Tamandua tetradactyla: one gene and its partner. The protein of the gene in region 2 binds, or shares a complex with, the protein of the main gene of each other region. Links are inferred from orthologs where the notes say so. Each region holds a gene or a part of one and is shown on either strand. Other genes may lie near its edges.

The links. The genes of interacting proteins can lie anywhere in the genome.
Region 1: the proteins of PTH2R (region 2) and PTH2 are in contact, whole or in part, in a cryo-EM structure (PDB 7F16), measured with the Homo sapiens proteins. The link is inferred for Tamandua tetradactyla from reciprocal best matches to the Homo sapiens genes PTH2R and PTH2. Residues at the interface, in NP_005039.1 of Homo sapiens: Thr31, Ile32, Ile34, Gln37, Ile38, Asp68, Gly69, Leu70, Ile90, Tyr91, Asp92, Phe93, Met112, Lys117, Ala120, Tyr122, Leu126, Gln130, Pro131, Ser134, Lys137, Gln138, Phe141, Glu142, Tyr152, Arg190, Ile194, Lys197, Val201, Ile205; in NP_848544.1 of Homo sapiens: Ser62, Leu63, Ala64, Leu65, Ala66, Asp67, Asp68, Ala69, Ala70, Phe71, Arg72, Glu73, Arg74, Ala75, Arg76, Leu77, Ala79, Ala80, Leu81, Glu82, Arg83, Arg84, Trp86, Leu87, Tyr90, Met91, Lys93, Leu94, Leu95.

Annotation. Positions count from the first base shown.
Region 1 is NC_135342.1:11,682,466-11,688,390, reverse strand, and holds PTH2 (parathyroid hormone 2), read right to left. Parts: upstream 1,644-5,925; coding exon 1,522-1,643; exon of another isoform or gene 724-1,521; coding exon 549-723; downstream 1-548. Other genes in the region: GFY (Golgi-associated olfactory signaling regulator), read left to right, coding at 3,899-5,033, 5,357-5,530. UniProt on the Homo sapiens protein: Plays a role as a potent and selective agonist of PTH2R resulting in adenyl cyclase activation and intracellular calcium levels elevation. Induces protein kinase C beta activation, recruitment of beta-arrestin and PTH2R internalization.
Region 2 is NC_135329.1:183,952,363-183,960,368, reverse strand, and holds the start of PTH2R (parathyroid hormone 2 receptor), read right to left. Parts: upstream 3,022-8,006; coding exon 2,998-3,021; intron 980-2,997; coding exon 877-979; intron 1-876. UniProt on the Homo sapiens protein: This is a specific receptor for parathyroid hormone. The activity of this receptor is mediated by G proteins which activate adenylyl cyclase. PTH2R may be responsible for PTH effects in a number of physiological systems.

The DNA.
Region 1 (5,925 bases), on a different chromosome or scaffold from region 2:
CGAATAAAGGGACAGACACCCAGAGGAAGAAAAAAAAAAGGGAAGACGTTAAGAAGTCAGGTAGAGGAAAAGGAAAGAGAGAAAGGAAGGACAGAAGAGATCTCGAGGCAGGAAAAAGAGAAAAGGAAAAAAAAAGAAAGAGAAGGGAGGCAGGGGTCCCCAGAGAGCGAAGAAACCAGAGGGGTGGAAAGAGAGAAAGAAGTGAGGCCCAGAGAGAGGGGGACAGAGACCCGGGGGAGGGGCGGGAAAAACGCGGGAGAGAAGGAACAGAGATCCGGAGTAAAGGGAGGAGACAGAGTGTGGGCGGGGGCGGGGGACAGAGATCCAGAGAGAGAGGAGAAAGAAATTAGGACCCAGAGGGAGTGGGGAGGAAAAAAAAGAGAGAGAGGAAGGGAATGGTGATGTTTTTAAAAAGGAAAGAAAAAGGAGCGAGAGGAGAGTGGGGGGCGAGACGCTCGACCGCGCGGGCCCCCGCGGGCGGCGCAGGAAGGAGGCGCAGTCGCGGGCGCACTGCGGGGTCTTTATTGGGGTGGGGGCGCGCGGGGCTCTCAGCGGGCGTCCAGCACCAGCAGCCTGCGCATGTACGAGTTCAGCCAGTGGCGGCGCTCGAGGGCGGCCAGCAGCCGCGCGCGCTCCCGGAAGGCCGCGTCGTCCGCCAGCGCCAGGCTCCGCCGCGATGCGGGGCTGCCGGGAAGCCCCCAGGCGCGGTCCGGGGTGCGGGGGCTGCGCGGAGACCGAGAGACGCGGTTACACGCGCGTCCAGCCCCCCGCCGTCCCCGTTATTGCGCCGTCTGCGGGGTGGCCCTGGCCCCGTCTCTCTGTCGGTCTCCTTCCCCGCGTGGGTCTCTGCGGCCCCCTCTCTGTTCCGCAGGATGCGCTGAGCGCACCAAGTGCTCAGTGAACGCCGCCCCGGGACGCATCCGTTACAGCTTCGACTCCCTTGAAATCTCTAAACGCTTTCCTCCCAGTGGCAGCATCTGTCTTTTCATTTCTCTCTTTCTCTTGCTGATTCTCTGTCCACCCCCTCTCACATCTCTACCCCAACGTCTCTGTCTTTCCTTTCTATCTGGGTCTCTATCCCATCTCTCTGGGCCTCTGTCCCACCCCCACCCCCGGGTCTCTGTCTCCCTCTCTGAGTCTCTCCCATCTCTCTGGGTCTCTGTCCCCCTCTCTCTGGGTCCCTGTCCCCCTCTCTGGGCCTCCCCCATCTCTGGATCTCTGTCTCCCCCTCTCTGGGTCTCTGTCCGCCTCTCTGAGCACACCAAAACTCAGCCCCCCTCTCTCTGAGTCTCTACCGCCCCTTCTCTGGGTCTCTGTCCCCTTCTCTGTGGACTCAGTCCCTGTCTCTCTGGGTCTCTGCCCCACCCCCCACCCCCCAGGCCTCTGTCCTCTTTGCTCTCTTTGTCCCTCTTATTTCTGGGTCTTTTCCCACTTCTCCAAGTCCCTACTTCTCTCTGGTTGTCCTCTCTTCCCATCTTTCTGAGACCCCATCCCTGGGTGTCCTGGTCCCCACGCACTTACCCAAGGACCCCCGCAGGGGGCAAGGCTACCCCCGAGGCTGTGCGGATGCCCCAGGGCACAAGCAGCAGAAGCAGCAGCAGCAGCCGCACCCGGTGGGTCCTGGGCACCTGGTGGGTCTCCATCACCTGTGCAGAGAGGGGGGAGGGACTCAGTGAGGCCCGCGGCTCACCCAGCACGGAGACCCCACCACCGACCCACCCTGCAGCCCGCCTACGGGGCCCCCTACCGTGCAGTGGGCTGGGCAGCGATGCTGGCGGCCCCCTTATATGGCCTCCACAGCCCCCGCGGCGGCAGTGACGCAGGCGGGGGGCCCGGGGGGCTGGGGGTCAGCCCCCCACCAAGCTCATTAGGAGCTGCCAGCAGTAATGAGGAGCTGGGGTTGGTGGCCCTGCCACTGCCTGGCCACCACCGACTAATTGGGATGGGAGCCTGGATCCGAGAAGAGGGAGGGGGACAGACAGACAGACAGAGAGGTGGACACAGGGGGTGTGTCAGAGGGATAAAAATAGAGGCTGGACTGAGGGACCATCAGTGCAGAAGATAGAGACACCGAGAGAGAAAGGACTGATGGGGATAAACGCACACACAGAGATGCAGTAGCAGGGAGAGGGACAGACAGAGTGACAGAGGAATAGACGGTAAGAAAGGGAGTAATCTAGGAAGAAAGAAAGGAATGGAAGAGGGGGAGACAGAACCAGATAGAGATGGAGGCTGGCAGAAAGACAGGGGGAGATGGAGAGACAGACAGCCTAGGAGAGAGATGCCCAGAGGTGAACCCAGGCAGGGAGAACCAGCAAGACGGAGTGATAGGGAGGGGGGGAAAGGTGAAAGACAGAAAAGGGTACATGTGGTTGGGGGGGCGTATGGTTGGATATGGGGGGGGCACAGGAAGACTGGTAAGGTGACAGAGACAAAATCAGAGAAACCTTACAGAGACCGTGAAGAGGGGAGAGAGACACGGACCCAGGCCTTCCATGTGGGTGGACCCAAGCCCTGCTCTGGGAAGAATTTGGGGGTCTTGAGATCAGGCCCAACCCTCCTCCCCATGGACAATTAAGAGGGTGCCCCCAGGAGGGGGGCAAAGGTGGGAACGTCCCAAAGGGCTGCAACTGTGTCTCTCTGATTCGCAAGACGTGAGGCTCCTCGTCCAGAGAGGAGGAGGCTGGGGCTTGGCTCCTGGGTTTGAGAATGGGGAGGACAGGGGCCAGGACTCCTGGGTTCTGGGGGAGGATGAGGGGGCTGCGGGCTGGTCTCTGGGTGTCAGGGTAGGAGAGGGCCAGGGGCTCGGATTCCAGATCTCAAAGGGAAGACCACCAGGCCATCCAGTCTGTAACTCCTAACAATGTCTTTTATCTGGGAGTCTTTAAGAGCCCAAGCCTGTTGCTAGGCTTCCAGCATCCCTGGGGATGGGGCCAGATGCGTCACCTCCACCCCTGGGACCCCACCTCCCCCCCTATGCCCAGAGCCATTCTACAACATTCACCTGTTTCTGCTTCCAGCTCTGCTCACCTGCTGGTGTGTCTTGGACTGCACTGAGCAGGTAAGAGACCCCAGGACCCAATTCAGGATCCCAAATGACCTTGTTCCATCCAGGTGTCTCCACCTGACCACACATCTGGGCATCTCTGCTCCGGAGCCCCTGGGATCCCAGCTCCATCCTCCATAAACAGCCTTCCTTGCAGGTTCTGGAGTCCCTACCCGAGACCCCAAACTCTCGAGCACTGAGGATTTGGAATTCCCAATCCCTTTCTCCCTCAGGAGTTTAAGACCTCCACCTCCTCTCTTCCAGCCCTCCCACCCCCCCAAATTTTGTCTCCCCATATCCTGTGCGTCAGAACCTCCAGACCTCCCTCTCCTTTCTAAAGAACCGGGAATTCAGATTCTCAGCCCCTCTGCCACCCTTTGGGACGCGGGAGTCCAGACCCCCATTGACCTTCTACTGGGGACCCAGCAGTGCCCCCGCCCTAACACCCAGGAGTCCCGGCCTCCCGAGCCTCCTCTTGTGTAAACAACTGTTGAGTCCAGTTGCCCGTGGTGCCCTCAGAGAGACAGGGCCTGCGGGCTTGGAGAGGTGTACTTCTTTCCAATTTCTTCTGGGACCCCGGGGGCAACAGGGAAGGAAATTGAATTGTAACTACCGCTTGCAGAAAGCTCAGGGCGTCAGTCTCCCTTAGCTACTGTGACTACTGCCCTGCCTTCGGGGAGCTGCGGAGCGGCGGTCGGGGTCCCCGCCTTTGCCTGGCGCCCTGCTGGGCGTGGCCCGCGGTCCGCCCCGGGTCCACCTGGGGGGAGGGGCAATGGGCGGGGCTTCCGCGGATCTTCCCGCTTTAACCCCTTCCTTCCCGCTTCCCCGCAGCTTTAGGCGGCTCCCGGAGCTATGAACCCGTTCAACCCGACCCTCTTCCTCCTCCTCTTCCTCCTGGCCGGGCTGGGCTCCACGGCCGCCCCCTCGGCCTCACCGTCCGCGGCCTCCGACGTCCCGGGAGCAGGCCCGTCCGCTGTTTCCCCGCGCGCTTCTGAAAATTCCACTCCTTACGGGCCCAACACGGAATCCCCGGGGGCCGTTTCTCCTCAGCCGGACAAGACCCCTCAGGAGGTTTCCCCTGAGACTCCTACCCTTGACTTCACTGAGATCCCCAAACCGGACCCCCAGGAAACCCCAGCTCCAGGGTTCCCTGAGACCCCCAAGCCTCACCCATTCAAAACCTCCATCTCAGCATCCCCAGAGCCCTCAAAACCTAACCCCTCCGAGGCAACTCTGCCAGAGCCTTCTCGGATCCCCAAACCTGACCCGGCTGAAACTCCCCACCAAATACCCTCCGACCACCCCCACCCTAATCCCTCCGGAACTGCACACCCAGAATTCCCAGAGATCCCAAACCCCGACCCAACCCAAACTCCACACCCAGAATCCTCTGGGATCCCCGAACTTAATCCCACTGAAATCCCAGCCACAGAAGTCCATGAGACCCCAAATCCTGACCCCACCAAGACCCTCAACCCCAAATCTCTAGAGACCCATGATCCTAACACAACTGAGTCCCCAAACTCTGAATTCTCCCAGCCCCGCCATCCTGACCCCAGTGAAACCCTCTACAACCCCAGCCCCACTGAAATACCCCAAGCAGAATTTCCCACAACCCGCTACCAAGATACAACAGAGATACCCGTGACCTCTGACCCTGACCTCTCCACTAATCTCCCAGAAACACCCGCACCGTCCAAGGATGAACCTACTACCCTAAAGGAGGGGTCCGTGAATCCCAAGCCAGAAACCCTTGCAACCGCCCAGCCCAGCCCCCCGAAACTGCCCACCTCAGATTTTCCAGGGGCCACCGAGCTGAAGGAACCCCAGAACCCTGGCCCTAAAGAGCCCAGCACCCCTCCTCTCTCAGCCCGGATTGCAGAGCCTCCTAATCAGCAGCCCCCTGCCACTCCACGGGCCCCCCAGCGGCGCAGCCAGAGTGAGGGAGTGAACACGATCATCGTAGTGGAGCGGGTGGAGGAGACCGGTGAGGGGCGCGAGGACTCGGGGGTCTGAGGGGGGAGGGGCTGGGGGCCTGAAAGCCCGGGTGCGAGAGGGGAGGGGCTTGGGGACCCCCGGGTCTGAGGGGAGGGGCTGGGGGCCTGGACGCCCGGGTCTCAGGGGGGAGGGGCTTGGGCACCCCCGGGTCTGAGGAGGAGGGGCTGAGGGCCTGGACGCCGGGTCTCAGGGGGGAGAGGCTTGGGGACCCCCGGTTCTGGGGGAGGAGGGGCTGAGGGCCTGGACCCCCGGGTCTGAGGCGGGATGGCTGGTAGCTCAGGCCCCTCGACGCCCTGGCTTCTCCCCCTTCAGGTGTGACTCTGGTGGGGCGCCCGCGGGGCGCGACGGGCGGGGCGCTGTGCCTCTTCCTCGCGGGGACCGGGCTGCTGGTTGGCATTTTCCTGCTGCTGTGTTGTCTGTACCGGCGGGCGGCTCGCCAGCGGCCCTTCGCGCACCACAGGCTCCCAGACGACGGGGATGAACCAGGTGAGCGCCCCACCCCGCCCCGGCCCTCCGGGACGCCCGCCAGTCGCCTTAGCCGGGTCTGCCCCGGCGCTTTGGGGTGCGGGGTCACAGAGCACTGGGCCCCGATCCAAAGGCCATATAAGCCCGATCCCTCCGTGGCCAGGCCCCGCCCCTTAACCCGCGGCGATTTCAGGTGCACACTTCCAGATCCGTCCCCGGGGCCCGCTGCGCATTGCATCAGGCGGAGCCGGGTCCATCCAGATCCCTCCGCTCTCCTCTCCGCGGGAGCTGCTGCGTGCCCTGATTCTCCGCCCCCCCACTTCAGGCCCCGCCCCTCGTGCGCGGAGGCCACGCCTCCCTTGCCTATGAAAACCCTGTTCACGTGGGTGGTCAGTGCCTCTCTCCCACTCTCCGGC
Region 2 (8,006 bases):
GGAAAAAGTCTCAATCAATCTGAAAGAAACCAAAGGTGGGGCATTGTACAGTGGAAATAGGAGGGACACATAGGAAAAGTTGGTGAAATAAAAAGGCCAAATAAGAAGGTAAGATAAAATTCAAACACTGTATATTAGTAATCACAATTAATTTAACTGGGCTAAACTCTTCAGTTAAAAGACAAAAACCATCAGAATGGATAAAAATAAAAGGTCCATGAACGAGTTGCTTATAAAAGATACTTCAGGGCAGGTCACGGTGGCTCAGCAGGCAGAGTTTTCGCCTGAGAGATTCCCAGTGCCTGCCCATGAAAAAAAAAGATACTCCAGGGTCATAAAGATACAGAAAAATTGAAGAAAAGGTGAGGAAAAGAAATGCAAGACAAATACCAGGCAAGAGACAGCCAGTTTTATTTATTAAATATTGTTCAATTTAATATAATAGTTTATAAAGATTAAGAGGTTTGCTTCATACTTACAAAAGGGTCAATCTGCCAGTCAGTATAACATTTCTTAACTTGTATATACCTCATAACATAGCTGCAAAATAGATGAAGCAAAACATTGCAAAACTTCAATGAAATATTGAAAAACTCCCCATTCGTGGGAGATTTTAAGACATAGCTCTCAGGAAAGAATAGGTCAAGAAGATGAAAAAAATGCTTATGGATACAGGATGCATATGGATGCAGAAGGAGGGAGGAGCACATGGGGTGAAGAGATTAAAAAGAGCATTATTCTACTCCACACCCCTCTACCTGGAAGAAGGAAAAGACTGATAAGGAGTTCTCTAACACTAAATCAGGAGGGAAATTTGAAATCATTTTTGGAACTGAGATGGGGAGAAAGGGGTGGGACATGTCTTGGCACCTTTACCTCCCTCCTGGAGCTGGGCTGTGATGTTGAGCTCACACTGGCCTTTAGCTTTCAGCACAAGGACAATCTGCTCCTCTATAGTAATGGTGCCATCAGCATCCAACTGCAGAAAGAAAATACAAAAAACAAAGAGAGAAAAACATTCCTAACATTTTAAAAGTACCTTCTAATATAATTTAACTTAAAATCTTGATAGCAAGTAATCTGAAATAGTCTTTTACTTGAATTAAAATGCAAAATCTGTCAGTGTATAAGACTTTAGGGTAATTTTAGTTTTACTTGATTAGCCTAAAGAAGAAAATCTTATACCAGAGAATGGGAAGAAAATTTTAATCTAATTAGATAATGATATTGCATATGATATAATTGGAAAAGTATGATTTCCCAGAATGCTACGAAGACTCGATAGTTTATTGATTCTCTTGCAATATGTGACTTTATTTGTGACACTTAGAAAGTAATAGAATGGAAATCTACCAAAATAATGCCAGTAAAACCTGGAGCAAATCATATAACATCTTTGGCCTTTAGTTTATTCATCTATGAAATATAAGGGTTACTCCAAATGGTCTCAAATTGCCCTTTTGCCTTAACAGCCTAACTCTGTAATGGTGAGATATGCACTAACGTATTTATTATCCTTTCAATCAATATACATTAAATACTTTTTAAGTAAAAAAATAATGTGACATTATAGTAAAGACTTTTATTTTCATTTTTTTTTCTTCAAATAAAATTGCATAATAAAATCCCACATATATATTCTGCTCTGGCTGAGGCCTAGGGGAAGATAATTGCAGAATCACACTGTTACCAATTTGAATCTTCCCTTCCCCCTGAGCCTGCTCTGAAAAACCACAAGGTTTCTCAAACTTGATTTGAAAATCACTTTTAATAGAAATGCAAAGATGTAGAGTAGCATTTTATAGGACCCCAAAACAAAACTGCTTTCTAAAATGAATACATTTCTACTCCTAGAGAAATGTCCCAAACCACAGTGCAATTAATCTTCCTTGGTTAAATAGAGACTGGTGATTAGATAGTTGAGAAAGTTAGATATAGGTTAGTGATAGATTAGATAGATGATTACAGAGAAGTAGACGGCAGATTACACAGATAGATGAACAGACAGATTAGATGATTATGTTATTAATATGTTAATGATAGATTAGATAAATGATGATTATAGAGAGATAGAGGACAGATTAGATTAGATAGATAACAGATAGATAAATATAGACATAGATGCAGATAAAGGTTTGTGACTGGTGACAGTGATGATAATCACAGTGGCCTGGGAAGAACATTATCTTTCCCTATGGTAATTTGCTTAGGAAAGAGGTCTTTCCCAAACTAGCTTAATCACAGTCTTTTCAGGAAAGCTATCCTTGACACTCCCATGCCTACTCTTAACTTGACTCTTTCCTTCTCTGTAACTTCATCTGTCCCAATACGGTCTGAGTTTATCACGTTTTTATTTTTATTTTTAATATATATTAGGCTGCCCAATACAAGGTATCTACTAAATGTACATTAACTTTGAAAATATTTCTATAGGTCTGTTTCTCAACTAACCTCTGAGCTCCTTTACAGAAACAGCTTTGTTGCTGGGTGCCTTTCTACCCACTCCCACTCAGAGCATGTTTCTAACACACAAAAAGTGTTTGATAGGGTTGGCCATGGTGGCTCAGCAGGCAGAGTTCTCGCCTGCCATGCCGGAGACTTGGGTTCAATTCCTTGTGCCTGCTGATGTAAAAGAAAAAAAAAAAGCATTTGATAAACACTTGGCTGGGAGACTTCTGGGAAGACGGTCAAATAGAGCAGCTTAAGATTAGCCCTGCTCCATGGAAAAGTTAGAGAAGGGACAGGAAGGTGATCGAGGCAGCAATTTGGGAGTGTGGCTGATGCGGGAGAGCCTTCTGCACCACACAAGGCAGCCCTGGTTGCAGAGGTTGAGGAACTGAGAGGCAGAAAGCTGGAGCCTGGAGCAGAGGCTCAGAGCCCATGGGAGTACATGGACAGGAGCCTGGGACTAGGAAGTAAGCCAGGTTGTATTCCTTGAGTGTGCTACCCTCACCAGCGCAGCCCCATGACTGGCAACTCAGCCCACACACCACATACCTGAACTCTGTCACCCGCTCCCATTCCCTGTGCTCCAGACACCCCCACCCCCCCAGCCTACATACCTGCCCCACAACCCAATCCTAACTGCAGCCCAACCCACTTCTCCTGCACTTCTCCTGCACCCCTCCCAAGTACTACCTCCCCCTCCCTGTTCCCCACAGGCTGTTGCCAGCGCATAAAGGCTGCAGGCACTAATCTCCATACTCAGGCTACTCCCGCCACGTGCCCATAGTTTCACACAGCCTCACGGCACCTCCCCTGACTCTGCATATCAGTTAATGGCTTTCCTAGGCCCACACATGCACAAGGGTCCCCAATCACGTCATTCAGCTCTGGGAACCACACTTTATAGCAGTCCTAGAACCACACATGTACACGGCCCTCAGCCACAATTCCCAGCTCTGAGCAAGTGCTGAACTGCACAGCGGGTTACATCTGCCCCCAATCCATGAAGGCATAATACCAACCTACTGCCACAGCTCTATGCATGAGCACAAAGGGCCCCATGCCTTAGGCTGGCACACACCAGAGTTATGCCCTTCAGACCGGAGTACCCACACAGCTACATTTTCCCTGGCCGCTGAGTGCCCACATTCACAAGCATCAGCATAACATCCCCAAACTGCGCCTATATCTGCCCTGAAACAAATCACCACACTGAGTGCCCCACCCTGTACCCTGCTCCCTGCTGCACATCCATCCCACAAATGCAAGGCCTTAGACTACTGAAAGAAATCAACTCCCAAAGTAAAGCAATCAAGATATTTATGGGTGGGCCATGGTGGCTCAGCAGGTAAGAATGCTTGCCTGCCATGCCCAAGGACCCGGGTTCAATTCCCGGTGCCTGCCCATGTAAAGAAAAAAAAAAGAAAAAGAAAAAAAAAAAGATATTTACATCCCACGAAGACAGCAGAAGATCACTAAGCATATTACAATGCAGACATATATAGCACTGCCTAATGACCAAATTAAAACACTAGATGAGACATAGATGTTGGAACAATTAATCAAAGATGTTCATACAACTCTAATAGAATTAGTGGGATAGCAAATGACATAAAGAATATCAAGAAACAGTAGATGAGCATAAAAAGGAATTTGAAAGAATAAATAGAAAAATAGCAGATGTCAGAGATTAAAGACTCTGATGAACAAATAAAAAATATACTAGAGGCACACAACACCAGATTTGAAGAAGAAGAAGAAATAATAAGTGGTATAGAGGACAAGATAACTAATTTCAAAGACTCAAAACAGCAAATGGCAAAAAAGACGGAAAAAATTGAATTCAATCTCAGAGAAATGATAGACAACATAAAGCACACAAATATAAGAATCACTGGTGTCCCATAAGCAGAAGAGAGGAGTAAAGGACTAGGAAGAGTAGTTGAGGATATAATGGGAGAAAACTTCCCAACTCTCATAAAGGACATTAATATACAAATCAAAGAAACCCAACGAACTTCAAACAGAATAAATCCAAATAAGCCTTCCCTAATGCACATACTAATTAGTCTGTCAAATGTTGAAGAGAAGCAGAAAATCCTGAAAGCAACAAGAGAAAAACAATCTATTACATACAAGGGAAACTAAATAAGACTGAGTTCAGACTACAGCTAGCACCCTGATGGTGAGAAGTCAGTGGTATGATATATTCAAGATCCTGAAAGAGAAAGACTTTCAGCCAAGAATTCTGTACCCAGCCAAACGACCTTCAAAACTGAGGGAGAAATTAAAGTTTTCACAGACAAAGAAGTCCTGAAAGAATTTGTCAACAAGAGACTGACCGTACAAGAAATACTAAAAGGAGTTCTGCCTATTGAAAAAGAAAAGCAGGAGAGGGAAGTCTGGAGGATGGTACAGGATTGAAGAGTACCACTGACAGTAATTTAAAGAATACAAAGAGAAAGAGGGAAAAGAATACATAGGTCTGACAAATAAAATATAAAAGATAGGATGGTGGATTCAAGAAACACCTTTTCAATAATAACTTTGAATGTAAGCGGACTAAACTTACCAATTAAAAGATACAGATTGGCAGAATGGATTAAGAAACATAATCCAGCTGTATGCTGCTTACAAGAGACTCATCTTAGACACAAGGATACAAATATATTGAAAATGAAAGGATGGTAAAAGACTTTCCACACAAGTTGTAACCAAAACAAAGATCAACAAGGAAATAGAGAAGTTAAATAACCTGATAAATGAATTAGACCTAACAGACATATATAGGTCACTGAACCCCAAAATACAAGGATATACATTCTTCTCTAGTGCACATGGAACATTCTCCAAGATAGATCATATGTTGGGGCACATAACAGGTCTTCATAAATTCAAAAACATTGTAATTATTCAAAGCACTTTCTCTGATCACAATGAGATGAAGCTGGATCTCAATAACCAAAGAAGAATGAGAACATTCCAAAATATGTGGACATTAAATAACATATTCTTAAACAACCAGTGGGTCAAAGAAGAAATTGCTAGAGAAATCAGTAGCTATCTGGAGATGAATGAAAATGAGCATACAACTTATCAGAATTTATGGGATGCAGCAAAGGCTGTGCTGACAGGGAAATTTATTGCCCTAAAAGCCTGTATTAAAAAACTAGAAAGAGCAAAAATCAAGGACTTAAAAGCACATCTGGAGGAACTTCAGAAAGAACAGCAAACTAACCCCAATGCAAACAGAAGAAGAGAAATAACAAAGATTAAAGCAGAGATAAATGAATGGGAGAACAATAGAAAGAATCAATAAAACCAAAAGTTGGTTCTTTGAGAAAATCAATAAAATTGATGGGCCACTAGCAAGACTGACAAAGAAAAAAAGAGAGAGTATGCAAATAAACAAAATCAGAAATGAGAAGAGGTGCGTTACCACAGACCCTGAAGAAATAAAAGAAATTTTAAGAGAATACTATGAACAACTATACGTCAACAAACTAGACAACTTAGATGAAATGAACAAATTTCTGGAGACACACCAACAAGCTACACTGACTCAGAAAGAAACAGAAGATCTAAACAAACCAATCACAAGTAAAGAGATTCAATCAGTCATCAAAAATCTTCCTACAAAGAAAAGCTCAGGGCCAGATGGCTTCACAGAGGAATTTTATCAGATATTTCAAAAAGAATTAACACCAATCCTGCTCAAATGTTTCCAAAAAATTGAGGGCAAAGGAACTCTACCTAACTCATTTTATGAAGCTAATATCATTTTAATACCAAAACCAGGTAAAGATGCTATAAGAAAGGATAACTACAGGCCAATCTCCCTAATGAACACAGATGCAAAAATTCTCAGTAAAATATTAGCAAATTGAATCCAACAATACATTAAAAGAATTATACACATGACCAAGTGGGGTTTATACCAGGAATGCAAGGATGTTTCAACACAAGAAAAATCAATTAATGTAATACAGCACATTAACAAATCAAAAGGGAAAAATCACATGATCATCTCAACTGATGCTGAAAAAGCATTTGACAAAATTCAGCATCCTTTTCTGATGAAAATACTTCAAAAGATAGGCATCAAAGATAACCACCTCAATATGATGAAGGGAATATATGAAAAACTGATAGCCAGCATTGTACTCAACGGAGAGAGACTGAAAGCTTTACTCCTAGATCAGGAACAGGACAAGGTTGCCCACTATCACCACTATTATTCAACACTATGCTAAAAGGTCTAGCTAGAGCAATCAGGCAGGTCAAAGAAATAAGAGGCATCCAAATTGGAAATGAAGAAGTAAAACTCTCATTACTTGCAGATGATATGATACTACACTTGGAAGATCCTGAGAAATCTACAGCAAAGTTATTTGACCTAATAAACAAATTCAGCAAGGTGGCAGGATATAAAATTAAGGTCCAAAAATCAGTAACATTTCTACACACAAGCAATGACCTAACTGAGGAGTCAGTTAAGGAAAAAATTCCATTAAAATAGCAACTAACAGAATCAAGTACTTAAGAATGAACTTACCTAGGGACGTAAAGGACTTCTACACAGAAAACTACATAACATTGCTAAAAGAAATCAAAAGAGATCTAAATAGGTGGAAAGACATTCCTTGCTCATGCACAGGAAGGCTAAATATAGTCAAGATGTCAATTCTCCCTAAATTGATCTACAGATTCAATGCAGTACCAATCAAAATACCAACAAACTACTTTGAAGATTTGGAAAAGCTAATTACCAAGTTCATCTGGAAGGGAAAGAGACCCTGAATAGCTAAAAGCATTCTAAAAAAGAAGAATGAAATGGGAGGATTAACACTTCCTGACTTGCAAACCTATTATAAAGCCACAGTGGTCAAAACAGCATGGCACTGGCACAAAGACAGAAGACCAATGAATCAAACCGAGAGTGCAGAAATAGACCACCAAATCTATGGTCAACTGATTTCTGACAAGGCCCCCGAATCCTTGGAACTGGTACAAAATAGTCTTTTCAATAATTGGGCATGGAAGAACTGGATATCAATAGCCAAAAGAATGAAAGAGGACCCCTTACACCCTACACAAAAATTAACTCAAAGTGGATCAAACACCTAAATGTAAGTACTAGCACCATAAAGCTTTTGGAAGAAAATGTAGGGAAACATCTGCAAGATGTAGTAAAAGAAGGTAGCTTCCTAAACTTTATACCCAAAGCACAAGCAGCAAACATAAAAATAGATAAATGGGAACTCTTCAAAATCAAATGCTTCGGCACCTCAAAAGACTTTGTCAAAAAGGTGAAGAGGCAGCCAACTCAATGGGAGAAAACATTTGGAAATCACATATCAGACTAAGGTTTGATTTCCTGTTTATACAAAGAAATCATACAACTCAACAGCAAAAGAAAAAACAATCCAATTATAAAATGGGCTAAAGATGCAGTCATTTTTCTGAAGAGAAGATACAGATGGCTCAAAAGTGCATGAAGAAATGTTCATTATCATTGGCTATAAAGGAAATGCAAATCAAGACTACAATGAGGTGCCACC